Linked DNA regions of Tamandua tetradactyla. The protein of the gene in region 1 purifies or fractionates together with the protein of each later gene. This does not show direct contact. Links are inferred from orthologs where the notes say so. Each region holds a gene or a part of one and is shown on either strand. Other genes may lie near its edges. The genes, in order: FAF2, SETDB1, UBL4A and DERL1.

The links.
Region 2: the proteins of FAF2 (region 1) and SETDB1 purify together in Homo sapiens (affinity purification with mass spectrometry; 3 studies listed by BioGRID and IntAct, counting the BioPlex papers as one, with this or other methods). This does not show direct contact. The link is inferred for Tamandua tetradactyla from reciprocal best matches to the Homo sapiens genes FAF2 and SETDB1.
Region 3: the proteins of FAF2 (region 1) and UBL4A purify together in Homo sapiens (affinity purification with mass spectrometry; 3 studies listed by BioGRID and IntAct, with this or other methods). This does not show direct contact. The link is inferred for Tamandua tetradactyla from reciprocal best matches to the Homo sapiens genes FAF2 and UBL4A.
Region 4: the proteins of FAF2 (region 1) and DERL1 purify together in Homo sapiens (affinity purification with western blotting; 4 studies listed by BioGRID and IntAct, with this or other methods). This does not show direct contact. The link is inferred for Tamandua tetradactyla from reciprocal best matches to the Homo sapiens genes FAF2 and DERL1.

Annotation. Positions count from the first base shown.
Region 1 is NC_135346.1:57,868,014-57,875,328, forward strand, and holds the start of FAF2 (FAS-associated factor 2), read left to right. Parts: upstream 1-4,304; 5' UTR 4,305-5,038; coding exon 5,039-5,101; exon of another isoform or gene 5,102-5,260; intron 5,261-7,315. UniProt on the Homo sapiens protein: Plays an important role in endoplasmic reticulum-associated degradation (ERAD) that mediates ubiquitin-dependent degradation of misfolded endoplasmic reticulum proteins.
Region 2 is NC_135330.1:4,640,177-4,647,469, reverse strand, and holds the start of SETDB1 (histone-lysine N-methyltransferase SETDB1), read left to right. Parts: upstream 1-4,279; 5' UTR 4,280-4,411; intron 4,412-4,417; exon of another isoform or gene 4,418-4,489; intron 4,490-5,822; 5' UTR 5,823-5,833; coding exon 5,834-6,093; intron 6,094-6,598; coding exon 6,599-6,750; intron 6,751-7,293. UniProt on the Homo sapiens protein: Histone methyltransferase that specifically trimethylates 'Lys-9' of histone H3. H3 'Lys-9' trimethylation represents a specific tag for epigenetic transcriptional repression by recruiting HP1 (CBX1, CBX3 and/or CBX5) proteins to methylated histones.
Region 3 is NC_135353.1:6,801,584-6,807,682, forward strand, and holds UBL4A (ubiquitin-like protein 4A), read right to left. Parts: upstream 1,560-6,099; 5' UTR 1,510-1,559; coding exon 1,462-1,509; intron 1,330-1,461; coding exon 1,224-1,329; intron 977-1,223; coding exon 756-976; intron 637-755; coding exon 526-636; 3' UTR 505-525; downstream 1-504. Other genes in the region: SLC10A3 (P3 protein), read right to left, coding at 2,513-3,934. UniProt on the Homo sapiens protein: As part of a cytosolic protein quality control complex, the BAG6/BAT3 complex, maintains misfolded and hydrophobic patches-containing proteins in a soluble state and participates in their proper delivery to the endoplasmic reticulum or alternatively can promote their sorting to the proteasome where they undergo degradation.
Region 4 is NC_135332.1:167,569,840-167,577,223, reverse strand, and holds the start of DERL1 (derlin-1), read left to right. Parts: upstream 1-4,371; 5' UTR 4,372-4,657; coding exon 4,658-4,810; intron 4,811-4,970; exon of another isoform or gene 4,971-5,098; intron 5,099-7,384. UniProt on the Homo sapiens protein: Functional component of endoplasmic reticulum-associated degradation (ERAD) for misfolded lumenal proteins. Forms homotetramers which encircle a large channel traversing the endoplasmic reticulum (ER) membrane.

The DNA.
Region 1 (7,315 bases):
TGAAGTATGTAAAAACGTGGATGGACTTGACATTATGCTGAGCGAGATTAGCCAGAAACAAAAGGACAAATACTGTATGGTCTCACTGTTATGAACTGACATTTGTGAATAAACTTAGAGAATTTCATTGGTAACACAGACCATCAGGAGATAGAAATAAGGTAAGATATTGGGTAACTGGAGCTGAAGAGATACAGATTGTGCAACAGGACTGATTGTAAAGACTCAGAAACGAATAACAATACCACCTAACTGTAATACAATTATGTTAAAACACTGAATGAAGCTGAATGTGAGAATGATAGAGGGAAGAGGGCTGAGGGCACAAATGAAATCAGAAAGAAGGATAGATGATAAAAACTGTGATGGTATAATCTAGGAATGCCTAGAAAGTATAATGATAGTGATTAAATGTACAAATTTAAAAATGTTTTGCATGAGGAAGAACAAAGGAATGTCATTACTGCAGGGTGTTGAAAATAGATGGTAATTAATATTTTAAAATTTTAACTTATCTGTGAGTCTAGAGCAAAAAAATGTTTTTTTGGTACAAAATTTATATTTTGACTAGTGCAGTTCCTAACATAACTTATGTGGACAGCTTAATTGAACACTGTATGTACATGGAACCTTGAGTAGGGCATAAGATTTGGTAGGTTTGTCCAGAGTGATGCCCTAATAAACCTCAGAGTGATTTGAACAGTGAGTAAAAAAGTATTTGCAAAGTCCCCTTGGGGGAATGGTGAGAAAGGGGGAAATTTCAACTCTCCCCAAGTGGAGAATTCTTGATATTCTCATAAGCAGTGGGGACAACAAAAGCAATAGGCTGAGTCTCCAATCTTGGGGCTTGTTCATACGAAACTTAACCCCACAAAGGATAGGTGAAGCCTACTTAAAATTAGGCCTAAGAGTCACCCCCAAGAGAACCTCTTTGGTTGTTCAGATGTGGCCTCTCTCTCCAGCCAATACAACAAGCAAACTCATCACCCCCCACCCCCCGCCGTCTACATGGGTACATGAGACATGACTCCTAGGGGTGTGGACCTTCCTGGCAATGTGGGACAGAAATCCTAGAATGAGCTGAGACTCAGCATCAAGGGATTGAGAAAACCTTCTCAACCAAAAGGGGGAAGAGTGAAATGAGACAAAATAAAGTATCAATGGCTGAGAGATACCAAACAGAGTTGAGAGATTATCGTGAAGGTTATTCTTATGCATTAAATAGATATCGCCTTGTTAGTCAAGATGTAATAGAGAGGCTGGAGGGAACTGCCTGAAAATCTAGAGTTGTGCTTCAGTAGCCATGTTTCTCGAAGATGATTATATAATGATACAGCTGTCACAATGTGACTCTGTGATTGTGAAAACCTTGTGTCTGATGCTCCTTTTATCTACCTTATCAACAAATGAGTAAAACATATGGAATAAAAATAAATAATGGGGGAACAAGCATTAAATTTAGTAGATTGAAATGTTAGTGATCAATGAAAGGGAGGGGTAAGGAGTATGGTATGTATGAATTTTTTTTCTGTTTTCTTTTTATTTCTTTTTCTGAATTGATGAAAATGTTCTAAGAAATGATCATGATGATGAACATGCAACTATGTGATAATATTGTAAATTACTGATTATATACGTAGGACGGAATGATCTATGTTAATGTTTGCATTTGTTTGTTGTTATATTGTTAAAAAAAATTTTAAATAAAAAAAAATGGCAATTCTGTCCCTGATTCAGATAAGTTCTGAAATCTAGAAGGCCCAGCCTGTCGAGAACATCAGATAGTTTCATCTCCTTAACCCCTATATTAGTGTTAGACCCTTGCAATATGAAAAAGTTAGAATGGCCATAGCCCAAACACCCCTAAAGAGAGAGAAAGATCAAAGGTGATGGTGGAGTTATACAGTGACAATAGGATTTATCAAATGAATATGAATGCTGAATCATTAAACTGATACCTTTTTTAGTCTCGAGTATCTTAGAGCAGCTAGAATTAAAAGCCTAAAATCGTGGAATTATAATCCATGTCAAATTCTGAAATATGTTCTACAACTAATTGTGGTGCTGTACTTTGAAATTTATTGCTTTTTTGTATACATGTTATTTTTCACAAAAAAAAAAAAGGAGAAAAAGTTGATTGTGATGATAAAAAAAATTTAAGCCTTCTAGCCTCCTATATTCTGGAGCAGTTAGAAGGAAAAAAATCTGAGGTGATCATATGGCAGCCCATGACAAACTTTGGGATCTGCATAGTAACTACTTGTTGAACAGTGCTTTGAAAACTATTGCTTTTTTTATTTCTTTGCTTTGTATACATGTTATACCATACAATAAAAAAAAAAAATACAGACAAAAAAATGGCAACTCTGGTCTCTCACATGGAAGCCGTCAGCTATAGCTAAAAAGCAGCAACTACCTTTGGACAAGTGTTCTAGTTTGCTAGCTGCCGGAATGCAACATACCAGGAATGGAATGGCTTTTAAAAAGGGGAATTTAATGAGTTGCAAGTTTACAGTTCCAAGGCTGAGAAAATGACCCAATTAAAACAAGTCTATAGAAATGTCCAATCTAAGGCATCCAGGGAGAGATACCTTGGTTCAAGAAGGCCGATGAAGTTCTGAGTTTCTCTCTCAAGTGAGAAGGCACATGGTGAACACAGAGTTTCTCTCTCATCTGGAAAGGCACATGTCAAACACAGTCAGGGTTCCTCTCTCATCTGGAAGGGCACATGATGAACATGGTGTCATCTGCTAGCTTCTTCTCATGGCTTCCTGTTTCATGAAGCTCCCCAGGAGACATTTTCCTTCTTCATCTCCAAAGGTCGCTGGCTGTTAGACTCTGCTTCTCGTGGCTATGTCATTCTGTTCTGCACTCTCTGAATCTCCCATTTTTCAAAATGTTTTCTCTTTTATAGGACTCCAATAAACCAGTGAAGACCCACCCAAATGGGTGGAGACATGTCACCTAATCCAGTTTAACAACCACTCTTGACTGGATTACATCTTGAGGGAGACGATCTAATTACAGATCCAAACATACAGTATTGAATAGGAATTATTCTGCCTTTATGAAATGGGATTTAGATTAAAACATGGGTTTCCTAGGGGACATACATCCTTTCAAACCAGCACAACAAGTAATGGCTGGCCCTCCAGTTTTCCATCTGGTGTCCCTTGCACTAGGCAAATTCTTACAGTAGAGTTTTAAAGAACAAAAACGAAACATTTCCTGTAACCAAGTCTTTATCAAAAGATGAAAACAGAAAGACAAGAGGATATATGCTTCAGGGCGGGCCACGGTGGCTCATGCCGGAGAACTCGGTTCGATTCCCAGTGCCTGCCCATGCAAAAAAAAAAAAAAAGAGAGAGAGACTATATGTTTCTTTGAGGAAATGAAGAACATTCAATGGTGATGAACAGAACTACAAAGTATTTCTGTTGAATGAATATATCTTAAACAAACAACAAGCCAAAGAAAGTTAGGATTGTGATTTGCCCTCTCTGTGCTTCACTCACTTATGTGACCTGCCTGACTCCGGAGGACATCTGACTTTGAAAACCCACATCTAGATTGTCTGGACCCAACCTTATTGGAAATGCTGACTAGCATCCAATCTCCCTTGAGTTTCGAGTTGATGGAATAAATTCCTGATGTTAACAGCTGTTTCCTTCCAAGCTAACCTTAAGGGTCTAAGAAGAATGGCCAGGAACATTGTTCGCGAGGTTTGTGGAGACCTGTTAAAATCTGATACAGGCCTGTAAGGAAGTGGTCAAAATCCAAGCCCTTTAATCTCTTAGTGTACAATTCCAGTACTTCAGTTTTCAAAGCGCTTCCTACCTTCTGTCACCTGGTGAGCTTTACGAAGCGGGCAGGAGCAGGAGTCACCAGATGAGGGCACACCGGACAGTGGGGACCGGGAGGCCAAGCGCCCTGCTGGAAGTCACACGAAAGCATGTATCAGACCCAGACCTCTCTGCCTCCCCAAGCCTTCCGGAGGGTGGCAGGTAAACGGCAGGAAAGAGAGAAGTGGAAATGGAAAACAGGGATCTGCGAAGAGGAGGCAGGCTGGAAGGGGCAAGGAAAGGGCAGGGGAGAAAGAGATGCAGGGGGGTATACGGCCCTGGAAACAACCTAAGGGAAAGGTCTTCTTGTCCGGAAGGTGAGAAGGTGATAAGCAGAGGCGGCTCGTCTGAGGCTGTCCAGAAACCTCATTCCACCAATGGCAAAACGGAACCCAGAGATGAGGTGGTTTGCCCATTTCTGACAGCAGGGTGGGTGGGAACTAGAACCTAAATCTGATCCCAGTCCAGGTGCGAGAGAGACATGAGAAGGCATGAGGCAGGCAAGGAAAGGGAAAGGCTCTACCGCTAGCTGGTGAAGCCGTTAGCTGTCAAGGACCCACAGGGGTTCAAACACCCTTAGCAAGCGACTTTGAAGTTGCCGCTTAAACGCGACCAAAGCCTCCCGCAGTTTCCGGGTGGAACGCGGCGTCGGAAATGCCCCACCGGCATTCGGGGACTTTTCGGAACGTCCCGAGAGACGGTCAGGAGCTCGAAAATCGAGGCAGAGCTTTTGGACACGTCAGAGCAGGAATCTAGCATCAAACTGCCGCCGATAGTTCAGAAACTGCATTTCCTGAGAAGCATTCGGGAATGTCCAAGATCACCGGGGAATGGTGAGGGAGCAGGAGAAATGAACCGAATGACACTCGGGAGTTTCCGGAGCTGTTCGAGGCCCATTCGGGATCTCTCGGCTCTTTGAGACCCATTCAGGAGTCTTAGGTCTCTCGTTGCTCCGTTCAACGCCTGTGTCGTGCGGACGACGCGTGCTAAGTCCAAAAGCGTTCGGGATCGGCCTGAGAGTGGCGCCCTCCGACGGCGGGAACTGTCACCACTTCTGGCAAGGCCTCGGTCGGGGGGCCAGCACGCGCAGACGTACTTAGTCCCTGGCGGCCGCTCGGCCCGGACGTGGTTGCCGTTGAGGTCATTTCCGGCGGGTGACGGTGCGGACGGGTCAGAAGCGTAGAGGCGGCGGCAAAATGGCGGCGCCTGAGCAGCGGGATCTAACCCAGGAGCAGACAGAGAAGCTGCTGCAGTTTCAGGTAGCAGCGACTACTTGGTGCGGCAAACGCCGCGGTGAAACGGGGGATGGGTTCCCCGAGGAGCCCAGAACCCTCCTTAGATTGGGCCCAGGCGGGATCCTTCTTAGATCAGCCGGCAGCCCCCTCCCCCCCAGATGCCAACTGCCCTGCATCCCTGGTTTCCCCGAGGCCCGGATCCTCTCTGGGTGCCCGGCCGTCCAGCCTCTTTTCCCTATCTTTTTATCCTTGGCGGGTCAGTTGCCTCAGGTTTTCCTCAGCGGCTCCCGTCCTCAGCCATCTTTCCCAGCCGGGCTACCGGTCGGACCCTCTCCGCCCAGCGCCTACTCTACAGATGTGTCGGAGGTGCTTAATCCCTCCCGCGGAGCTGGCTTCATTTCGGGTCTATGAAAAACTTCCTACCTGCAGGCCCTGTCTGTTCCTCCTACATTTACTGCTGGCCTCATGGCTGTCAGGTTTCCTCTTTGGTGGCGGAGAGGGCGCCTGTTGGCGGGTCTGGCCCCTCACCCTCAGAATCTTAAGTATTGACAGCGGCTTCTGAAGGAGCTCATTATTCAGGATTTATTCCTGGACTACTGTGCTTGACTGTGCCTAAGGAGGGTGATAACTTGCAGGGGTCTGCCTCCTTTTATTGGCTGTTGTGTTCAGTACATTTGGCACTAGGCATTTATCTCAGAGCTTGGAATCTGGTTGGAGAAGGCCACTAGGGTGGGTAACCTTGGCTGTTTGTTACCTTGGTGGATACCAGTTTCCTTATCTCTAAACTGTATATCTTAAAAATGTCTCCCTTCAAAGGATGTTGTAGAGATCAAGTAAGCTTATGGAGTCAGAAGTACTTTCTAAACTGTAAAATGCTCCCAACAATCTGCTGCCGTTCATTATTATTTAAGAAAGTAAAATTAGTGGTACACCTAGTTCTGCAATATTTATCAAGAGCCACAGTGCTCAGGCACTGTTAGGTACAATACCATTTATTGAGCATTTACTATAAGCACTTTGCCAAATGCTTAGCATACATTATCTTATTTAATACTCACAATAACCCTATGAGGTTGATACTGTTAGAGTCCCTGTTTTACAAGTGAGGACTCAAAGGCTTAGGCAGTAATATGCCTAGGTTACACAACTAGTAAGTGGTGGTGCTAGATTGAAAGTCAAGTCCATCTTTTCAGAACCTTTCTCTGGCTCTTCTGTGCTGTGCAACCTATATGTAAGTTTTAGTGTATAGCTGAAGGAGTGGAATGCAAATACTGTGATGCTAAGTTGTGCTGTGTTTTTTCATGTGTGCAAGTTCTCACTTTAATGTAATTTCCTTGAGTAGATTTCCCTATACTTAATTTTGAATTTTTTTGTCTTCCCTCATGGAATGGGTTCAAAGTATATAAAAGGAAAAACGATTGAAGAATTAGCTGACATTTGTTTAGAGTTTTTGAATAGAGAAATTGATGACACAGCAAATTAGAATCAAAGATAGATGAACAGTGGACAACTAGCTTCCATTTTCTACTAGATCACCCATTTCATTGGGAAGACCTTTTTACCCTTCTTACAGGGGTAAGTCCCAGTGTTTTAAGTGTAATGAGTTGATGTAAGTTATAAATAATGATGTGCTTGGTCTGGTATCAGAAGAGCATGAATATGTGGTAGTATTTCTGAGGTAAAGTGCATAAAAACTTCCATTTTGTTTTCGGTGGACATCTAGATCAGTAAGAGAGGTGGGTAGTAAGTTAAAGTTGTATTAAGGTTGCTTTATGAAATTGGGTTTAAGGAGGAGATACAATTTGCATTTATATATTCTTTTATTCACCTCTTGATCATATTCATCATTCAGATTACCATTAAACATTCTTTGAAACTTACTAGGTGTCAAGTGTTATACCAGGTAGTTTAAATCTCTTATTAACTCTGTAAAGTGTTAACCCGTGTTTATTTTATTAATGAAGTAACAGGTTCTGCAAGGTCAAATAATTCACACAAGTAGTAAGTGACAGAGGTTTAGAAATCCATATCCATAGCCATCTTACCTATAACCTTATGGGAGAAGCCAGATTTAAACACAGATAATGGGTATCCTGCAAGGTATTAGTGCTTGTGATGTAAAGTGGTATGAACACAGTGCTGTGAGAGCTTAGGAACAAGTCAGAGTAATTATGGTAAGGGGGAAGAAGTATGTCTTATAGTTACCTTTTATTGAGAATCTGCTATGCCCTAGGCATA
Region 2 (7,293 bases), on another chromosome or scaffold:
CAGAGATGATCAGAAAAGACTTATTGTAAAGGTTCCTAGATTGCAGGCTCTTACAGCAGTCACATCTATTCCTGAGAGTTCTTTGTATATAACCTGGTTGTTCCCTGGAATTTCAGGTATCTGTGTGAAACTTGCGCCTCAGAGCTACAGTTCTGCAGCTATGAAAGTCAGCATTACCCCATACTGCAACTGCTAAAAAAAAAAAAAAAGCTGAAAAAGAAGTCAGCCTTCAATTAAAGACATGAACAAAGCTGATCTGGTTAGGACTAAGGTCAATCAGATGAAAGGTTAAAGGATGATATTGACTGTATTTTAAAACTTCAATTTCTGTGTGAGACCAAAGGAAGAGATATTTATTTGGTGCAAAATTTATATTTTCTATGGCACACTATCTAATTTAATTTGTATGGGCAGTTTATTCGAACACAATAATTACATGGAACCTTGAAAAGGGAGTGAGACTTTGTTGGTTTGTACAGGTTAGTGTGATAATCTGATACATCCAGAGTAACCTGGTACAGAAGATTTAAAAATCCCATTGAGGAACTAGGGAAAAATGTGGAAATATTAAAACTTCTCCACTTGGGGAAACCCTGCTTCCTCACAAGCATTTGTGTGCTGGTTTGAAACTGTTATGTACCCCAGAAAAGCCATGTTCTCTTAATCCTAATCCAATCTTGGGGATGCAGACCCATTGTTTGGATGGGACATTTTGATTATATTATTTCCATGGAGATGTGACCCCGGCCATTCAAGGTGGGTGTTAGTTAATTTACTGGAGTCCTTAAGGAGCCAACACAGACAGCAGACATAGACATTTGGAGATGAAAACAGAAATACTCTGGGTGCTGAGCAAGAACTCACAGAAATAGCCAGAACCTGGAGAAAGCCAAGAGAAGCTGAGAGATGAAATCCAGAGTTTGCCTCAGAGAAGTTTTAATGTACAAACAAATCAGCCTGTAGGCTTATTAAAATGCAAATTTGGATTTGGCACATCTTGAGCAGGACTGGAGATTTCGAATTTTGAACATATTTAGTATGTTGAGTATGCAAGGCCTTAGAGCATGAACCTTTACAATGAGACTTTCCTGACCATCTCTGCTCTCAAATTCAATTTTCAGAGTATGCACATTGTAGTTAGTCCATATAAGTGATGCATTATACTATCTGTCTTTTCATTACTGGCTTATTTCACTCAACATTCTGTTCTCATGGTTCATTCACCTAGTTGCACAACTCATGCTCTAAGGCCTTGCATGTTGAGTAAGCAAGGCCTTAGAGCACACTTCCTGCATCTCTCTGCTGATTTCTACAGGACTGACCACTTTAGCTTTCTGGGCAATGAAGAAATCAAACTGGAATATGATGCTCCAAGCAGCTCCTGTTTTTCCTCACCAGACCCACCTCCCCCACAAAGACACTGGAAAGCTGCAAGAATCTAACGGAAATATACTTAACCAGGGCATAGCAAAGATTTCCCTTCATTCAGCATACATTAAGGGGCCCCCTGTGTAGGTGCTAGGAGAAACAAAGGTCATTAAGACAGACTCTTGAGTTGATCACAAGCCAGAGGAAACAAACATACGCAAGTCAACTCACTAGCGGAATGAACTAAGGCAATGGAAACACAGAGGCAGGAATTAATCCTGCAGGGGTGAAGCATGGAAATATGTGCAGATATAAAATTTATAAAAGTGTCTCACATAACCGTGGGAACGTAGAGTCCAAGGTCTGTATGGCTGGCTGCAAGCTGGCAGCTCCGATGAAGTTCCTCATGAACTCTTAGGAGAGGCTAGCTGGACAACCACAGGAATGGATGACTCCAAAATCCACAGGGCAGGCTGTGCAGCTGACCACTCCGATGGAGGGTCTGGACAAACTCCACAAGAGAGGCTCGTGGGCTGAAGCAGGAAGATAGCTGTCTCTTCTGAATCCTCCTTAAAAGGCTTCCAGTGATTAGATTAAGCATCACTCATTGCAGAAGACACGCCCCTTGGCTGATTACAAATGCAATCAGCTGTGGGTGCAGCCAACATGATCATGATTTAATTGTATGAAATGTCCTCATAGCAACAGACAGGCCAGCACTTGCCCAACCAGAGAAACAGGTACCACCACCTAGCCAAGCTGACACATGAACCTGACCATGATAGTGGTCTAGGACAGTTACTCCTTTTTGTTTAGTTTTTTTTTATTTAAGGAAACAAATAATATACTTAAAACCAACAAAAATGAATATCTAAGTTAGCTTAACCATAGGCATAAATAAAGTGTCCATATAATTATTGTAAAGCCTGTGTTTGCACAAGTTTCATAAATCAGTTTAAAATTAAGGCAACAAGAAAAAAAATCTACATATTCAGATAGCAAAGTTCTTAAACTCTAAGTATTAAAAACTAAGATATCATTTGATCAGCTGTCAAAACTGTGAATGTTCTCAAAATATCTAGTAGAAAGTTCTTACAAATATCTGCATTGCTATAGTAATGATCTATATTACTAAATATTTTCCTCATTTCAGGAAAATATAAATATACAAATATTTTTACCATTGACATATGGGAATCTTAACCACCTAAAATGGATATCCTAGTTAGCTTATCTACAGGCATATTTAAAAAAAACCTAAGGAATCATCATAAAGCCTGTTTGTACAATATGTTTCATAAACCAATTTAAAATTAAAGCAAGGAAGGAAGAAAATCTATAAATACAGATATCAGAGTTACTTGAACTGTAAACATTAGACATTATCTTAAATACCATTTGATTAGGCATTCTGTATGCACTCTCAAAATATCAAGTAAAAAGTTATCACAAATATCACCTTTGCTATAGTAGTGATCTATGTTCCTAAATATTTTCAAATTTTTATTTCAGGTGTTTATTTTATCTAGTATTACTATAATTGCCTATAGTTTTTTTTAAACCATTTTTAGTTGTAAAATATAACATACAGAAAAGGAAGAAAAAAAACAATTTTCAAAGCACACTTCATAACAAGCAGCTACAGAACAGGTCCCACAGTTTGTCACGGACTACCATGCCCTCATCTCAAATTTTTCCTTCTACTGCTCCAAAACACTGGTGGCTTTAACTTGATCACAGTCGTAAAAATGGAATCATACAGTATCTGTCCTTTTGTGTCGGACTTATTTCACTCAGCATTATGTCTTCAACGTTCCTCCACATTGTCATATGCTTTGGGACATCATTTCATCTTACTGCTGCATAATATTCCATCACATGTATATACCACATTTTGTTTATCCATTCGTCTGTTGACAGGCACCTGGATTGGTTCCATCTTCTGAAAATTGTGAATAGTGCTGATATGAACATCAGCATGCTCATGTTTTAAAACAGAACCTTTAAAAGGAAGTGAGTGACATGATCAGAACCACATTTTAGAGCTACATGTAGAATTAATCTACAAGACATGCCGTTTAGGAAGCTCTGGAAGTTTTCCTGACGAGAAAAAAAGAGCTAAAAGAAAAATAAAAATAATGTAGAGGAGGAGAAAGCTATAGTAAACATTTCCAAACTAGGACAAACAAGTATTAATGTTTCAAGAGAAGATCTTTGCTAATCAGAGTGTGAACTGTTACCTTTTTGCAAAGTAATTTCTACTAAAATGAAAAATGTACCTATCTTTTGCTCGAGATTCCATTTTGGGGAATCTTTTCAACAAAAAAGTACTACTTCAAAATAATGTTAATGTTTTGCATTGTTGCATTGTTTGTAGTGGCTGAAAACTGCAAACTAAATTTCTAAATATGGTTTAACTATACTACGAACTACTATATAGCTGTCAAAAGGGTATTTTACCTTTATTAACGTCAAGGGATATACCCATGTTAAGTGAAAACAAAACAATTTCCATACATGAATGTGTATGTAAGCGCCTCAAAGGAGTAGGGGAAGTGACGGCGGAAAGGGGAGGAGATTACATTTTTCTAACTACATCTTGTTACCTTTCGACTTGCTAAATTCCTACGACTTAAGTAATAATACAAATTCAAATAAAAGTGAGAAAAGAACTCTAAATCTAAGTGTTTGCCGAGTGAGTCTTTACACGATAAATGTAGCTCTGTCGCTACCAGCAGAGAAGCACCGCAGGATTCTTCAAAGTACCGGACCCGCGAGCAAACGCTTTTCACGTGTGCGGTAGCCGACTCGGCTTCACGCATGCGTGGTTGCCTTAGTTGGCCTAGACTCTCTGGGGACTCCGCGCGGCTTTGGGTTTGACCCCGTCAGGCTACCGTCGCCGTGACCGGAACAGTGTTTAAGGTTTACTTCCGGGCGTGTCTGCAGCTTCCCCTTCCCTCTTTCGCGTTTCCATCCCTCCCCCTGCTCCCTTTTCCCTTCGGTTTCGTTGTTTCCTTTTCCCGTGGAGGCCGATCCCTAAGTCGTAAGTCTAGGATCTGGTTGGTAAAGCAGAGCTTTTGGAGCGGGATGCGGGGAGGTTTGGGGTCTACTGTTAATTGAGGTATTCGGAGCCTAAAGGCCCGGGTGGGATTTTTGTTTGCGGGAGGAGGTCGGGTGGGGGTGAAAAGGAAGTTTCCCCACGAAGCGAGCGTGGGCGGGACTCAGCCTGGATTGCGGGTGGGTGGAACGTACCCCTAAAATGGGTAGCACGGGGGAGGGGCGAGTGTGAGGAAAGGAAAGATGGAGGACAGAGAACTGGCATAGAATTCAGCATCAATCTTTCTTTAAACCCAGAATTCGGTATCAGTCCTGCTTTAAACTTTTGATCGAAAAAGAATTTCATACTAACGAGGGTTATTTTGACTGTGAATTTTATTTGGTAGCCATATTTTATTCCCAGACTAATTTATTTCTCTTTCCTTCGAAGAAACCTCTTTTTGCTACACGCTTGCCTGTGCTTACGCATTGTAGCCTTTTAAGGGGCATTACAAACAACAATCAAATGTAGATGTACATTTTCTCATGGAAGCAAAGTAGGGGAATCAAGTGTAAAGTAAGCTACAGATAATCTTTCCCCGATTGAGGGTATTTGTTCAAATTTGGCATAATATGTAGACATAGTTCTGTTTCATTAGTCAAATAAAGAACATATTAGGTCAAAAAGATTGACCTGTAGATTGATTCTCTTCAGTTTCCTAAAACATTTCAGTAGCTCCGTATTACAAAATGAATTAAATAAAACTTATTCAGTGGGACTCTCACGTCATTCTGCAATACGGCCCCCAAGTTAGCTTTTCAGCTTCGTATCTCACCACCACCTATGGTTTACCCCCAAACATCCGAAGTTGTTGAAACGCTTTCATGGATTTTCCCCACGTGGAATGCCTCCAACTTAATTTTAAAGGCTCATTTCAAAAGCTCTCTCGCTGGCTTAAATGTTACATGTTACATGTTAGATGCTGCATAAAAAAAAAAAAAGAAAGGACAATGTAAATATAAGCAGTTCCTGACATTTGGTAATATACTGATATGAGATGCAGGTACAGAACTTGACAGCTAAAATAAACATTTATATGTTGTGAGTTTTAAGGTAAGATAACTAGATAGCCTATGGGATCATGTTCTCCATGCCCTCCCAAAATTTTAAATCAATCCTCTTAGTCTGTAGTGTGAGCTGAGAACTCTACAAAATCTCAGCAACAGGTTCTGGAGAATTGGAAGAGAGAATATAGAATCAAATTTAACTGTTTTTTTTTTGTTTTTTTTTTTTTGATAACAGCACAGTAGGAATAAGTCTATTAGTAGGAATAAGTTCCCTATTAGGGAACTGAAATTCTTTATTAATTGTGGTGATAATGACCCTAAAGGTAATTTTAGTTTTCTGTTCCATGCAGAGGACAACAGGATGTCCTCCCTCCCTGGGTGCATTGGTTTGAATGCAGCAACAGCTGCAGTGGAGTCTGAAGAGATTGCAGAGCTGCAACAGGCAGTAGTGGAGGAGCTGGGCATTTCTATGGAGGAACTTCGGCAGTTCATTGATGAAGAATTGGAAAAGATGGACTGTGTACAGCAACGCAAGAAGCAGCTAGCAGAGTTGGAGACATGGGTAATACAGAAGGAATCTGAAGTGGCCCATGTTGATCAGCTCTTTGATGATGCGTCCAGGTGAGGACTGCATGAAAACGAGAAGGAACTCTCTCCGTTGGCGTTTTTTAAAGTATAATTGTTCATGACACAGTGCCAAACACATTATGCTTTACTACTTTTTTCCCTAGTAAGATCACCTAAGGAGTGAGGATTGTCATGAGTTTCTGACTTATGTGGTTATGGAGCATTAATGAGTTCCTAAAACTTCTATCAGCTTCTAAACCCCAAAAAGATTAGTTTCTGGTGCCCTCTTTGTCACTGAGAACATATTTTCAAATAATCACAAAGTAAATTATGAAGTAAGGTTGAAAAGACTTTGAACTTATTTTCCAGATTTTCAAGGAACTAGTTTGGAAACCATACCACCATTTAAAATGTTTTTCTATGGTAAGCATTCCAAATTCTAAACAGACACTTTGGAATATGGTCTGTAAGTTAAGGGCAGTCTATATTTAAATATATATAAATCCTAACGACTCTTACACCTACCTTCTCTGCTTTTCTACATATATTCCAATATTAGGGCAGTGACTAATTGTGAGTCTTTGGTGAAGGACTTCTATTCCAAGCTGGGACTGCAGTATCGGGAAAGTAGCTCTGAGGATGAAGCTTCCCGGCCTACAGAAATAATTGAGATTCCTGATGAAGATGATGATGTCCTCAGTATTGATTCAGGTAAGAGATAAGGCTTTGGATAGGGAAGTTTCAAAGATTGAAGTTGAAACTCTGAAAGAGGAGCAGATGAAAACAGAAGAGGAGAAACTGTTATCACTAACTTCATATTCCAAACTACCTGACTTGCCTGCTAGAGGAAAAGAATAGAATATTGTTAGCATAATAAATACAATGTCTAATTGCATTGTCCTCCTTTCCCTATCCTGGATAATCTCTATTCTGAATTCCCTTGCTTTTCTTTGTAGGTGGCATTAGTGCCTATGTGTGTATAATTTACATACCATAAAATCCACTCATTTTAAGTGTATGGTTTGAATTTTAGTAAATTTACACAATTTTGCAACTTTCCCCACAATCCAGTTTTAGAATACTTGGATTACCCCTAAAAGTTCCCTTGTGCCTGTTTCCCATCAATCCCCATTTTCACCCCCAGGTACCACTGATCTGCCTTCTGTTGCTCTAGTTTTTCCTTTTCTAGAAGTTTTTTAAAAACAGAATCATTCAGTCTGTTGTCTTCTGTGTCTGGCTTCTGTCATGTAACAT
Region 3 (6,099 bases), on another chromosome or scaffold:
ACAGGGGGGCCCTCATCAGGCAGAGTCAATGGCTGGGGGTGCCAGTATGGCACAGGGCCTTGCCCAAGGTCCCACCCGAGAGCCCCCCACCTACTTTCCCTTCGTTGAGAGCACACTGGCCACAGCAGCCCCGGGGAGGCTGAGGGTGGGGGCCAGGCCTCCCATAGGGGTGAGGGCAGGCCTGGGCTCCTGGGCAGTGGCTTCCCCTTTCGGGCTTAGGAGAAGAGTTGCTCAAAGATGCATCTGCGGTGGGCTCAGCACTGAGTGCCGAAGCCTGTCCCTTGGAAGCCTTGGAAGCCACTTGCTGCTTTCTCACCCTGAGGTACTTCAAGAGGCTGGCTCCTGGCTATCCCCGCCTCTCCTGAGGGGTCCGTGGGCGAGCCAGGCCAAGTGTTTTGAGTGGGGCGTGGGCTGTTATTACTATGATGAGCCACGTGGCAACCTGAGAACACATTTCATGCAACATGCAGCTACGGCTCTGCCCCCCCCACCCCCCCCCACCCCCACCCCCCCGCTCCAAGACCCTTATTTGGAGAGCCCCTTCTCCAGGGCCTCGGTCACTTCGGGGTGCAGGAAGCGGCTAGCCAAGCGTTCGATGTCATCCAGTGTCAGGCGGCTCAGGGACCTCTCGTAATCCTGAAGAGAGAGGGGCCAGGAGGACTCAGGGGGGTGGCGGTGCCAGAGGCAAGGTCTGGAGGCAGCTGGGACTGGAGGGACCGGAGGCCCAGGGCGTGGGGATGCTATGCAGTTCTCACCCGCTGGAGCTGCTCCAGGACCCGACTGGCATCTGCGGCGCTGAAATGTCGGCCTAAGACTTTGGAGATCAGCTGCCAGGTGGCGGGGGGTGGGGGTGAAGGCGGCGCCTCGGCCCGTCTCCGGGCCGTGTCTGCTTCCAGCAACACCTTCTCCAGGGGCTTGACTGCTAGGTTGAGCTTGGAATTGGGTCCGATGCTGTAGTCGGACAGTCGCTTCCCATCTGCCACAGCCAAGTGGGTGGCGTGCCTTACCATCTATGGCTGGGTGCGGGGGAGAGCGGGGGCGCCCCCGAGGAAGTGCTGCCCACCCCAAAGAGCGCACACCGAGGAGGCCCTGGTTGGGGACCCTGCTTCGGCGCCCGAGGGTCAAGCAGGGCACTCGGCGCCCGCCGGGGGGCAGGGCGCGGCCTCTGACACCCAGCTCCCCGACTTCCTGCGGGGCTCCCTGGGTGTCTCCACCCGGGTTACCTGCCAGGGCCTTGCCCTTGAACAGCAGCCGCTGCTGGCGCACGGGGACGTTGAGCTTCTCGGAGACCAGATGCTTGAGCGTGGCCACCAGCTCGTCCTCTGACACCTGGACGGGCCGAAAGGGGGTGGGGGGTGGGGGTGGGAGCCGGGGTTGAGCCCGCCAGCCTCGGGCCGCGCGGGGGTGGGCTCCCCGGCCGCCCCGTCCCCACCCGGGCCGGGTCCCGCGGCGCGCCGCTACCTGCAGGCTGCACTCCCGGCCCTGGAGCGCCTTTACCGTCAGCTGCATGGCGGCCGCCGCGCCGTCCACTGCGGCCCGCGCGCGCCCTCACCGCCCGCCGCCGCCGCCGCCGCCGCCCCGGGAGCGCGCCGGAACCGCCCGCCGCCGCCGGAAGCAGGCCCCGCCCCCGTTTCGCCCCGCCCCCTGGGGGAGGAGTCCCGCCGGCCGCCCGGCCACGGCCACGCGCGCGCGCTGGGGGCAGAGCCCTGCTGGGGGAGGAGGAGGCTCGAGGTGGGTCAGGGGGAGCCCCGTCCGGGGAGCCGGGCCAGGGGGAGGTGGCAGGTTCCCGCGACCGCGCTGGCCGTCTGCGGCCCGATGGGCTGCCTCTCCCGGAGTCCGCGAGCTTGTCCTGCTCTGGGCCCAGGCAGTGCGAGCGGGGTGACTGGAGGGGAGGGCCGCCCCGCCCTGCCCCGGCTAGCTCCGCGTCCCGATTGCTTTATTTCCCCCCCGCACCCACCCCCACTCCTTTTCTGGTCTAGCTGTGGAAAACCCAGCTGAGTTTGCGAGCAGGCGGGGATTGCCCAGCCCCATCCTCCCACCGCTGTCTTCGAGAACCCCGAGGCCCCACCCCTCACGGGGTGAGGGAGGGTGGGGCCTGAAAGAGCCCGACGCCCATAAAAACCAAGGCCTGAGCGCAGCCTCCTTGCCCTCCGCAGCTGCAGATGCCCAGACCAGGCAGGACCCGGGGGCACCTGTGCTCAGGCCACCGCGCCCGCTGGCCGGCCCTCCACCCTGGTGCACACCTACCCGGCACCTCCGGCCCCCAAAGGGCAAAGATCAAAAGGGACCCAAGCTGGCTTTCTCTCTTTTATTGAAATATCGTTTTGCCGGGCAGTGCCCTCACGCAGCGTGGCCTCTTTGGCACTGAAAGCTGGAGAATAAAAAAATCGGTACAAAAAATAAGCCTGGATTTTTTTTTTTTTTGAGTGCATAGTGCATGAGAACTAAAGGCCTTTGGTACACGCGGACGGTGGGTGGGCCGTGGGGCCTCGGGTTGCTGGAAGCTGGGTGCTCAGGGAACTGGGAACAGGCTGCTGTAGATGAAGTGGCCAACCACCATGGCCAGCATCTCCGAGGTGCCGCTCAGCGCCACGATGAAGGGGGCCTGGGAGGCGTAGTCGGCCTGGAGGCGGCGGAAGGACAGCTGCAGCACGGCCAAGGCCAGCAGGCTGTTCTGCACCCCGACCTCGATGCTCACGGTCCGCCGCTGGGCCTCAGGCAGCTTCAGGCACCTGGCCAGGCAGTAGCCCACCAGGAGGCCCACCAGGGGCACCGTGAGGCCGGCCAGCACAATGGGGAAGCTGACGCCCACCAGGATGAAGACCCCCATGTGGTAGGCCAGGAAGAGGCCGCCCAGGAGGAGGACGAAGCTGAAGGGCTTGATGACCTGCAGCAGCAGCTGGGAGAACTTGGGCAGCTTGCACTTGATCACCACCCCTGCCGCGATGGGGATGGCGATGAAGAGCAGGGTCCCCAGGATCTTGGAGATGGGCAGGTGGAGCGTCTCGTGGATGCTGAGCAGGTGGCTGTACATGGCGGAGGACAGGGGCAGCAGGCCGGTGGCGGCCACCGTTGAGATGAACGTCATCGAGATGGCAAGGGTGACGTCCCCTCCGAGAAGAAGGCTGAAGAGGTAGCTCCCCCCACCCCCGGGTGAAGAGCAGGTGACAATGAGGCCGAGCGCCAGGGCCTTGGGCAGCATGAAGGCCTTGGCCAGCAGGAAGGCGTAGAACGGCATGACAAGGAACTGGCCCAGCAGGCCAAGCAGCATGGGCTGGGGGTTCTGCAGAAGCCCCTTCAGGTCCTGGAGCTCCACCTTGCACCCAAACGAACACTTGTTGACGAAGATCAGCGGCAGGAGTAGGTAGAGCAGGGGGTTCTCCGAGAAGTGGACCAGGTCGGTGCTGAGGCTGGTGGGCGTGTCTTCTGCCGGGGAGACCTTGATGCGGAAATCTCTCCGCTCCTCAATCACCACGGGCTGGGCCTCCCGGTGGTCCAGGAGACTGATGTGCAGTGGGGCCAGCCCCGCCAGGCCGGAGCGGATGCTCACCACGAAGCCACGCCCGCCTCCCCAACTTAAGGCACTCACGTTCTGGATAGTTAGCACCTCCGTGTCCAGGGAGGTGACCCTGAGAGTGGGGCCGGGCCCTGTCCCGTTGTGCTGGCCTGGGTACCGGCTAGAGATGACGATGATGCCCTCGCTCTCCTCTGGGAACTCAAACTCCATCACGGAGCCATCCCCAATGTTCAAGTAGTGGGCCCCCGGAAGCGGCCCGGTGGGGCCCAGAGCCATGCCGAGGCTGGCCCCGGCTGTCCCTCGGACCCCCCATGGCAGGCTGGCCAGCAGCAGGGTAGCCCTGAACATGGCCAGGGGGCCTGTGCAATGACACCACGCGGCCTGGTGCCCCTTGGGGCTGGCCCTCCCTAACAGCATGGCTTCTCCCGGGCCCTCCTGGGCTTAGGAGAGCAGCCCAGCTGGTGCCGTAGGAGCGTCCTGGGGAGGGGCCATGGGCGAGGTCTGGCTTGTGCTGCCTTCCTTGATGGTGTGCTCTCCCTGAGGACAGAGGGGACACAGAGAGGAAGCCGGTGAGGGAGACTGCATGCCTCCGCGGGTACCGGCAGCTTGGGGGATGTGGAACACAAGGGCAGTGCCCGCTGCTGGCCCTTGAATCTCTTCAAGCTGTCCCCTGTCCCGGCATAGCTGCCTTGCCCAGAGGGGCACCTAGGGGCAGGGGTTCTGTTCAGTCTGCCGGTCTCCACGGATGTCCCTGGCCTGGCCTATCGCAGTGACAGTGCAGAGATGTCCTGAGTCAAAGGGAGTCAAGGGGAGTCACCCCAGTCCTGGCACCACTCCAACTAAACTACGTGTGCCTGTCCCCCACCGCCTTTGCCTTGGGGCCACAGTGATCCCACAACCTGGGTGAAGTCTCTGAAAGGCTTCCTGGAGATGACAAAAGCAAAAGCTGCTGCTGGGAAATGCTGGTCGGGCCAGACCTGGGCACCTTCGACCAAGTGGGCCAGGGAGTTTGAGCATCATTTCTGGGGCACAGCGAAGTCAGCAAAACCATGTGGGCAGTGAGTGACCACCAGAAGGCCCCCAGAAACATGGTTGGGGAAGCTGCTGCTGTGGCTACCTGGCTGCCCTCCTTGTGGACAGCAGAAAAGGCAGGTTCCCTTTCCCTGGGGAAGTTGCTGGAAGGAGCAGCAGGAGGGGATCAGATAGGGCCACATGTCTGCCTGGGACTTCTCCTTTTCCCCACATAGCCCCCACACCTCTGGCAGTGCCAGAACTTGAGCTTCTGGAGCTGCAATATCGTATCTGCAAGGCTCTGCTCAGAATGCAGACACTCCTCTCCCCCCACCCCACCCCTCACGCATTCTGGCCACAGCCTCTAACTCTCAATGTGACTGTGAGTGTGTTGGGGTGAGGGGTGATGGGGAGAGGGGTGCTCAGAGCTAAAGGGCCAGGTTTTCCTCCCTCCCCTTCTGGATTTCCACAACCACTGCCTTATTGTCACATCACCTGCTGGAACTGGGGCAAACAGGATGGGGACAGTTGCATGACAGGACTCTCAGTTGCCTCACACCTCACAGAGTCACGGTCACGGAAGAGCCGCCACCTGTTCCCCCAGTTCTAGTACTCTTTGGCCCTGGCCTATGCCACATTGGAGACTGGGGAGGAGGGGGAGGTGGGGGTGGGGTGGAGGATAGGTGAGGCAAATAGGTCACCACCACTCCCCACCCACACACACAATGACACGGCCTCTGCTGGTTTGGGAGCTTCGGTCACCCACCCCGAGGCCTTGGTGGAACCTTGAGTCCCACGGGGTGGGGATGGGGGTGGGGTGGGGAGGGATGCTGGAAAATCAGAGGACTGGAGGAGACTCACATGGACAAGATAAAGGCACCCTGGACCGAAGCCACCAGGGCGGTGCCAAACCATTTCAGACAGGAGAGAGGGGCCACGGGCCACCCACCCCCATGCCCCCATCTTCCCGGAATGGCTGGCGGCGTTCAGTCACCGCGCAGACTAGACCCCAGACCCCTTCTGCCAGAAGAGCCGGCGGGGTCGGGCCAGGCGGCATGGCAGGGCACGCTGTGGAAGCCGGGCCCCTGAGGCGTCGTCCCCCCTGGCCGGGCTGTGGCGGCGACGGTCGCGGGAGCCTCCCCACCTGGGGCTCCGGAAGCTCGCCCAGCACTCCCCGGGGTCCGAGCTGCCTCTCGCTCCCGGGCGCCAATCGGGGAGACCCGGTGGGAGCGCGGGGGTCAGGGCAGCCCTCGTCCCGCTCCCGGGACCCACGGCCGCGCCGGGCCTCGAGCTTGCGAGGTGGCCGGCCCGGTCCTGCCGGGGCGCCGGAGCGAGGCTGGGGCCAGACGCGGCCTTCCGCCCTCCCGCCCCCCGCCCGGCCCGGAGGCGCTCACCTTCCGCGGCCGCGGAGCTCGGCGCCGGCGCCTGCCGGGCCCGCCGGACGCCTGTGAGCTCGGCCCTCGGGGCTCCGCCCCTCCCCGCCTCGAGGCCCCGCCCCCGTGCCCGCCCCCTCCCGCGGCGGACCACTCACCTCTCGCGTCCGGGTTGGGTTCTGACCGGATGTGACATTA
Region 4 (7,384 bases), on another chromosome or scaffold:
ATAGAGCTACTGAGCCAAGATTCAAATGTAGATCTGTCTGGCTCCATTATCTCACTCTGCCATACCTATGTTTTTCTGCCTCTCATGCACCAGATTTATATGTTTTTTCCAAAAGACTGCCTTGGACCAGAAAATGATTGATTGCTAGCCTGGGCTACAAATCTTTGGGAACCCGTATAACAAGATTCTGTTCCATTCCCCTTGTAAAAAAGGACTTATTCATACATTAAAGGGAGTGTTGCTCAACAAATGGTTCTCAAGAGCACAGAGGAAGTGGGTCTAGGGCAAAGTGTGGTAGGAATGTAGACACGGCTAGTTTTGCCTGCCCGGCCCTCCCTCCCCATACTAAGAACTGCACTGCTCTCATACAACACTTTTTTAGCCCACCTGGGTCACTGTGATTGGCCCAGGGTGGGGCTTGACTAAAGAGCCAATCAGAGCCTTTTGCTTGGATTTTTGAGTATAAGACCAAGAACAGCAAGTCATAGTCCCTCTCTGGTAGTAAAACCTGGGGCTTGCCAAAAGCAGTGGCTTCAGCGTTGTGTAGACAGCCGATCTGAGAGAGGCGGACTGATGCTCAGGCAAAATCAGAAAAAAAAAAAAAAAAAAAAAAGAGATGGAAAGAGAGCATCCTGGTAGCATTTACATCCATGATTCTGATTGTTCCAGCAGCACCACTGGCCTCCTGTCCTTCCTGTACTATGGTTACTCTAGCTAAAACATTGCTTTTATTTCTAAAGCAGATGGAATTGGAAGAAAAAGAGATGGAAGGTTTTAGGAACTGGCATTACATGAGCTGAATTTGGAAGGATGAATAGGGTTATCCAGGTGGAGGAAAAGTGAGGAGAGGAAACATCATCTATAGAAAGGTTTGTGTGTGTGTGTGTGTGTGTGTGTGTGTGTGTGTGTATGTTGGGAAACAGCATGGTGTCTTCCAGAAACGGGAGGAGCTCAGTGCAGTGAAAGCACAGACTGCACTGGGTGTCATTATGTATGTAACATGTATGTAAGTGCTGAGCACTTAGAAAGCCCGCGATGATGATGATGATGATGGTAGTTATTTTTATATTACTGCCAAGGTGAAGGGTATGAACATAAGAGTAAGAATATGCAAAAGTCATAAAAGGACCTGGACTGCCATTATAAAGAGTTAGGATCTTGTCCTTAAAGGTTCTAGGGAAACTTGAAGTGGTTTCTGGATACATCCTTCTAACTGCAGTGGGAAGATCACTTAAAAAGACTTTGAGACTTGAGGCAGAAATAGGGTAGTTGCTGTTCTAATTGAAATAAAGAGTGTTTAAGTGTTGACCAACTCAGTCACCTTGGAAGGAATCCAAACTGGCAACAGTTAAATGTCAAGGTTTTATTGACACCTTGTGTAGGAAAACTGACATTGCAAAGGAAACACTTCTATTTCATCAGTAAAAAAGAATTATGTGTCATACAAGCTAACTGATGCAAACCCAAGCAACATTTGCCATTTTCTAGATGACGTGGTTATTTGGCCTTATCAGGGGCAGAAGGAGGCAGAAGCCACTGCAAGTGAACTATGACATAGTGCATCAGTACCAACCCTCCCCCCATTCTACTGTGAGTCAGAATAGAAAAAGCAAATCAAAAGCATGTGTTCAAAGCTGCTTAAATAAATATTCATGGCTAGGTGTTCTCATAAAACATACATGAAAGCAACCAAGGGCAGTGCTTCATGTATAATCAAAAGGATTTGGCATCTACAGCTGAGCTAGGACAGTATTCAGAGGAGAGGGGAAAAGTGATGTTGTGTCTTGACACGTAGTGAGATCATTCCCAAATACAATGAGAAAATTGCTTAGATAGATGAGGCTTTCTGAAAGGCGTCCTTGAGACTAAAGGAAGGAGAATAGAAAGTGAAGCTCCCTTTTCTGGTTTGCAGTCTACTGGAATGCAATATACACCAGAACTGGAATGGCTTTTATAAAAGGAATTTATTAAATAGTTACAAGTTTACAGTTCTAAGGCTATGTAAATGTCCAAACTAAGGCATCCAGGTAAAGATACCTTAATTTAAGAAAGGCGGATGCATCTGAACATCTCTGTCAGCTGGGAAAGCAAGCTAGTCCCTTGCAGGTCCCTTGCTCCTGGACTTCATTTGGCCATTTGGGCCTCTGTCCCTGTGGGGATTCCTCACTTTGCTTCTCTGGGATTGGCTTTCATCTCTTGACTTCCCTTGGCTTTCTCTGGGTTCTGGCTTGCTTAACATTTCACTCATGGCAATGTCTGCTGGGCTCCAAGCATCTCCAAACATCTGTGTCTCTATTCTCCAAATATCGGTATCTGTGTCAGCTGTGCTTTGAAGTTTCTGTTGGCTCACTCTCTGTCAACGCCAAGGTTTCTGTCGTTTCTGGCTCTCTCCCAAATGTTTCCTCTTTTAAAGGATTCTAATAAACTAATAAAGACTCACCTGGAATGGGTGGAGTCACATCTCCTTCTAATCAAAAGTTCACACCCACAATTGGGTGTGTCATATCTCCATGGAGATAATTTAATCAACATGTCCACTGTTTATACAACATTGTAGTTTTTCTTTTATATCAATATTGTCTTCCTAAGGTTGTGCCACTTTATACTCCTACCATGTATGAATGGGTTTCTTCACATATTCTCTGCATTTAATATTTATTAGGTCCCCAAATGTTGTTTGTGTTCATTGGGCTGCGGAATAGTTACTGTCTTCTTATCCTGTAAATGCTGATTTTGTTAATATCATGGACATGGTGCTAAGAAATGTTATCTAAAATCACAAACTGTCAAAAACTTTGTGGTTTGAACTTAAACGTGTGTGAATGGAACATCTTTCTCCTGTCTGGAGGAGTTGAGCCATTTGGGTTGCTTTGATGTAGTATTTTCAATCCAGGTGTAAAGCCTTGAATAATAAGATTTCAGGCCCAGTATTCCACATTTATCTTAACTTTGAGGTTTCTAAGGGAAGAAGACTCTGGATCTGTATGGTGGTTGGAAGCTGTACGTATCCTGGAAAAACACATGCTTTAATGTATTCCTGTGGGTATGAACCCATTGTAAGTAGCACCTTTTGATGAAATTACTCTGGTTAAGGTGTAACCCACCTCAATCAGGATGGGTCTTAATCCTATTATTGGAGTCCTTTATAAGCAGAGTGAAATTCAAACAGACAGAGAGAAAGCCAGAGGGGAAGCAGCCAGAAGCTGAAATCAACAGACCTGGAAGGGGAGAAACCAGTATAGCCATCATGTGTTGTGCCAAGTGACAAACCAAGGACCAAGGATTACCAGCAGTCATCCCCAGAATGTCAGTCTTCCGGGAGAAAGCATCAGTTTGATGATGGCTTGGTTTGGACTTTCTTTTAGCTGCAAACTGTAAGGAAATAAATTTGAATTGCTTGAGCAGCCTAGAAAACTAAAATAGTCTGCTTCCCACTTTAGGCCTAGGCCTGATGTTAACCCCATTTACACAGAGCCCTGCTTTGCTTTGAACATAGCAAAACACTTGATTTAAATTTACCAAAAACTCTATCTTTCCTCATAATAACCAATAATAGCCCTGTCTTGTTTTGTTTGGTAAGATAGCCCAGAGTTCTGCTGGTGTGCAATCTCCTTTGTTTAAAACAAAGTTTATAAATCTTTGTTGCACTACAGGAGTGTTCCTGCTGGTATTATCACAGGGCTTTATCAATTCTGAGCTGTAGGCTCGAAATCTGAAAACAAAAGAAAAAATTCCATCAATCTCTTTTTTACAGATTTAAAAAAAATTAAACAAGATGAACTTTCATGTGCTTGTAATTTAAGTCTTGCCTAGTGAACTACATGAACATCAAGATCATTTCTGTTTTCAGTTCCTCCAACACTCCAAGCAAGGTGGAGCAGCTGTTTACATGAAAAACTCTTCCCTTATCTTTGCCTGGCTGGCGCAGCCCAACATCATCTCCTCAGAGGAGGACTCCCTGACCATTCTCATCTAAAATAGTCATCTTTCCCCACAGCCTCCCCGCCCCTGCCTCAGTCTACTCCATCACCCTATTATATTCTCCTTATCACTATCCAAAATTATCTTACTCAATTATTTATTTGCTCATTATCTGTCTATTCCTAATAATGTAAGCTCTAAGAGAGATGGTACCATGTTCTCAGCCTGGTACTCAGTAGGCCCTCAACAACCATTTGCTGAAACAACACAAACACGCGGTAACAGCTTGCTTCCCTTTAAATACTTACCACGGTGGATCCACCTGCTTTCTATCTCTGGCGGAAAAAAGGTGGAGGGTATCCGGCCTCGCCATTGGCTGAAGCATTTGTCGTTGCTCCAGACAACCACTGTTTCCCACCAGTCCTGCCTTCGCCCCGCCCCTCACGGCTCCGCCCCGTCCCCAGGGCTGCGGACCCGCGACCCAGTGGTAAAAGTCACTCTTGCCCTTTAAGCGGCGGGACTTCTGGTCACGTTGTCTGCGGCCGCCGGAAGGGGAAGTTTCCCCTCGGAACGCTCCCTCGCTTGTCCGAATTCGGTGGCGCCACGTCCACCCGTCTCCGCCTTCTGCACCGGGGCTTCCCTCTACACCTTCCACTCGCGGAGCCGGCCGCGTAGGGAGGGAGGCCAGGACCGGAGTCGGGCGGCTGTGCACATCCTGGCTACCTGAGTGACGAAGATGTCGGACATCGGGGACTGGTTCAGGAGCATCCCGGCCATCACGCGCTACTGGTTTGCCGCCACTGTCGCGGTGCCCTTGATCGGCAAACTCGGCCTCATCAGCCCGGCCTACCTCTTCCTCTGGCCCGAAGCCTTCCTCTATCGTTTCCAGGTACTGTCCGGCTCCTGAGTCAGTGGAGACTACAGGCCCCAGGGGGCCCCGCGGCTGCGAAGTGTTTGCCAGCAGGCTGCGGGCGCGCGGTGTCTGCTGGGATTCGTAGTGCATCAGCTCGAGGGGGTTAGGGCGGGGTCTTGGGCTGGAAGGGAGGCCGAGGGGTCTGTAACGAGGACCTGGAGAGCTGGACACGTGGGTTTAGTCTGGTAGGAAGGGACCGACCCTGTCCTTGTATTAAGATTGTGCTCCCCACGCTCCGCACTCGGTGAAGGAGGCAGTGAAAAGGTAAGTCAGTGACATTTGTCAATATTGGATACCGGTGTTGGGACCCCCAAAACGCCAAGGTTAGCAGTCTGGGTGGGACGACCTGGAGCACATGCCTTTTACCTACATCTGTCACCCACGTGGGTGGCATGTAGGTTCCAACTTGGCAGATATCGAAGTGATCAGTCCTTTTCATGTTAAGGGAATTTTTTTTTCTCTGTAGGAGGTCAGAAGTTCAGAGGTGTTTGTTTAATCTGCGTCTCCCTCAGTTTAAACTACTGTTGACATGTAGTAGTTTAATGTACGAATGAATAAAGAGTAAATTGCACCAGAAATGGGAGATGCTGTTATTTTCTTAGGCCTGAGGAAACAATGTAGAGTGTTCACCTGGTAAGAGAATGTTAAGTTACTGGGGGTTATTTTTATTCACCTTTTTTAGTAGTTTAACTTTAATTGCTTGTAGGTCAGATACCAAGATTTGAGATTAAAGTCAGTGAGTGCAGTATTTAGCCCGAGGATAGCACTCATTTTTGCTTCTCCTCACTGGCTACTTAGTCTCCTTTGCTTGTCCTCTCCTGACCTTTAAATGTTGTGTTGTGCTCCAGGGATCAGTTGCAGGACCTCTTCTCTATATTCTGCACCTGGGTGATTTCATTCAGTTTGGTGGGTTTAAATACTTTTTAAACTGAAGACCCCCAAATACAAATACAGATATATTTCAGTCCAGATGTCCTCTTTTCTAGACTTGTAGATCCAACAGTCTATTTGAGATCACCACTTGGATGACTAACAGGCATCTCAAACCTGACATGTTCTAAATGGAATTCTCCTGCCTTCTGTTTTAGAAGTAAATAGCAACTCCAGTATTACAGAAGCTCAAGCTTCTGTAAAGTTTTGTAGTCATCTCTGACGTTTCTTACTGTCACACTCCACAATTGCTCAGCAAATTATGTTGAGTCTACCTTAGACATCGCAATCCATTATCATCTTCCAATTTTATTCCTTTCAATCTTTTCTCCAAACAGCTGGAGTGATCCTGACAAGTCCTGTCAGTCCTCTGCTCCGAGCTCTTTGTGTCTTCTCAGATGGCAGAGTAAAGTCTCAGTCCTTTCAGTGGCCTGCAAGCCCCCCAGCTACTTCTCTGACTTCATCTCCCACTCTTCTCCTCCTTGTACTTTAGGTTCCACAGTGGCATCCTTGCTGTTCCTTCATCATATAATGATCCCTCATCAGGGCTGTTGCACATGGTGGTCCCTTCTTGAGGAAGATAACTGTGGCTCTCTGCTTTATCTCCTTACCTCCTTCAGGTTTCTGCTCAAATGCCACCTTGCCAGTGGGGCCTTCTCTGATAGCCTTACATAAAATAGTACCTGTCCTTCACACTGTCTCCTTTACCTTTACTTTTCTTTGCCATGTATCACTTCTTAACATTTGTTATTCTGCTTCCCCTCAGAGTGTAAGACTCTATGAGAGTAGAATCTATGTCTTGTTTACTACTACCTTGTTCCCTAGACTAGTACCTGGCACATAGCAGGTGCTTATTTATTGGTTAAGTGCATGGATATTGGGTACCAGCTGTGTGCTGGGTACTGATGATACAATAATGAATGGATCAGAAGAAGTTCTGGCTCCCATGAAGAAAATAAAAGAGAGGCCTGTGATGGAGAGTGGAGTGTAATATTTGACAGTGTGGTCCAGAGAGGTGTCAAATAAGGTATTTGAACTGAATCCTGAGTAACAGCAGCCAGCCTTGGGGAAGAACTTGTTCTGGGACAGCCTTCCAAGAAAAAGGAATAGGAAGTGAAAAGGTTAGGGGCAGTAACAAGGAGCAGACGACTGAATTGCTGGTGAAGTGAGCTGTAGGAATGAGGCCCAGTAGATGAGGACAGGAAGATAGTCAGGGGTATGTGCAGTAAACTGAACTTGGAAAAGTAGGTCAGGGCCAGATCTTATAGGGCTTTCTAAGGCCATGTTAAGTGTGTTGAAGTTTATTTTGAGGGCAAAAGGAGTTTCTGGAGGCTTTTGAGTGAAGGACTGACAAGATTGCCTTTTTTACTTCATTGGGTGGACTCCGTGAATGTGTGTGCATGCGCGGTGGGAGAAGGAATGGAGGTGGGGGTTGCCTACCATGGCGTGTGCACACGTGTGTGTGTGTCTGAGAGAGAGAGGGAGGGAGAGCGAGCGCACTTTGAAGAGGGATAGGTAATGGGGTCAGAGAGGAGTTAAGGTAGGAGGCAAAAGAGATAGTGAATTTTACTCAGGGTTGGCTCTGAAGTTGGAAGTGGACAGATTTGGGAGTTGGAATAG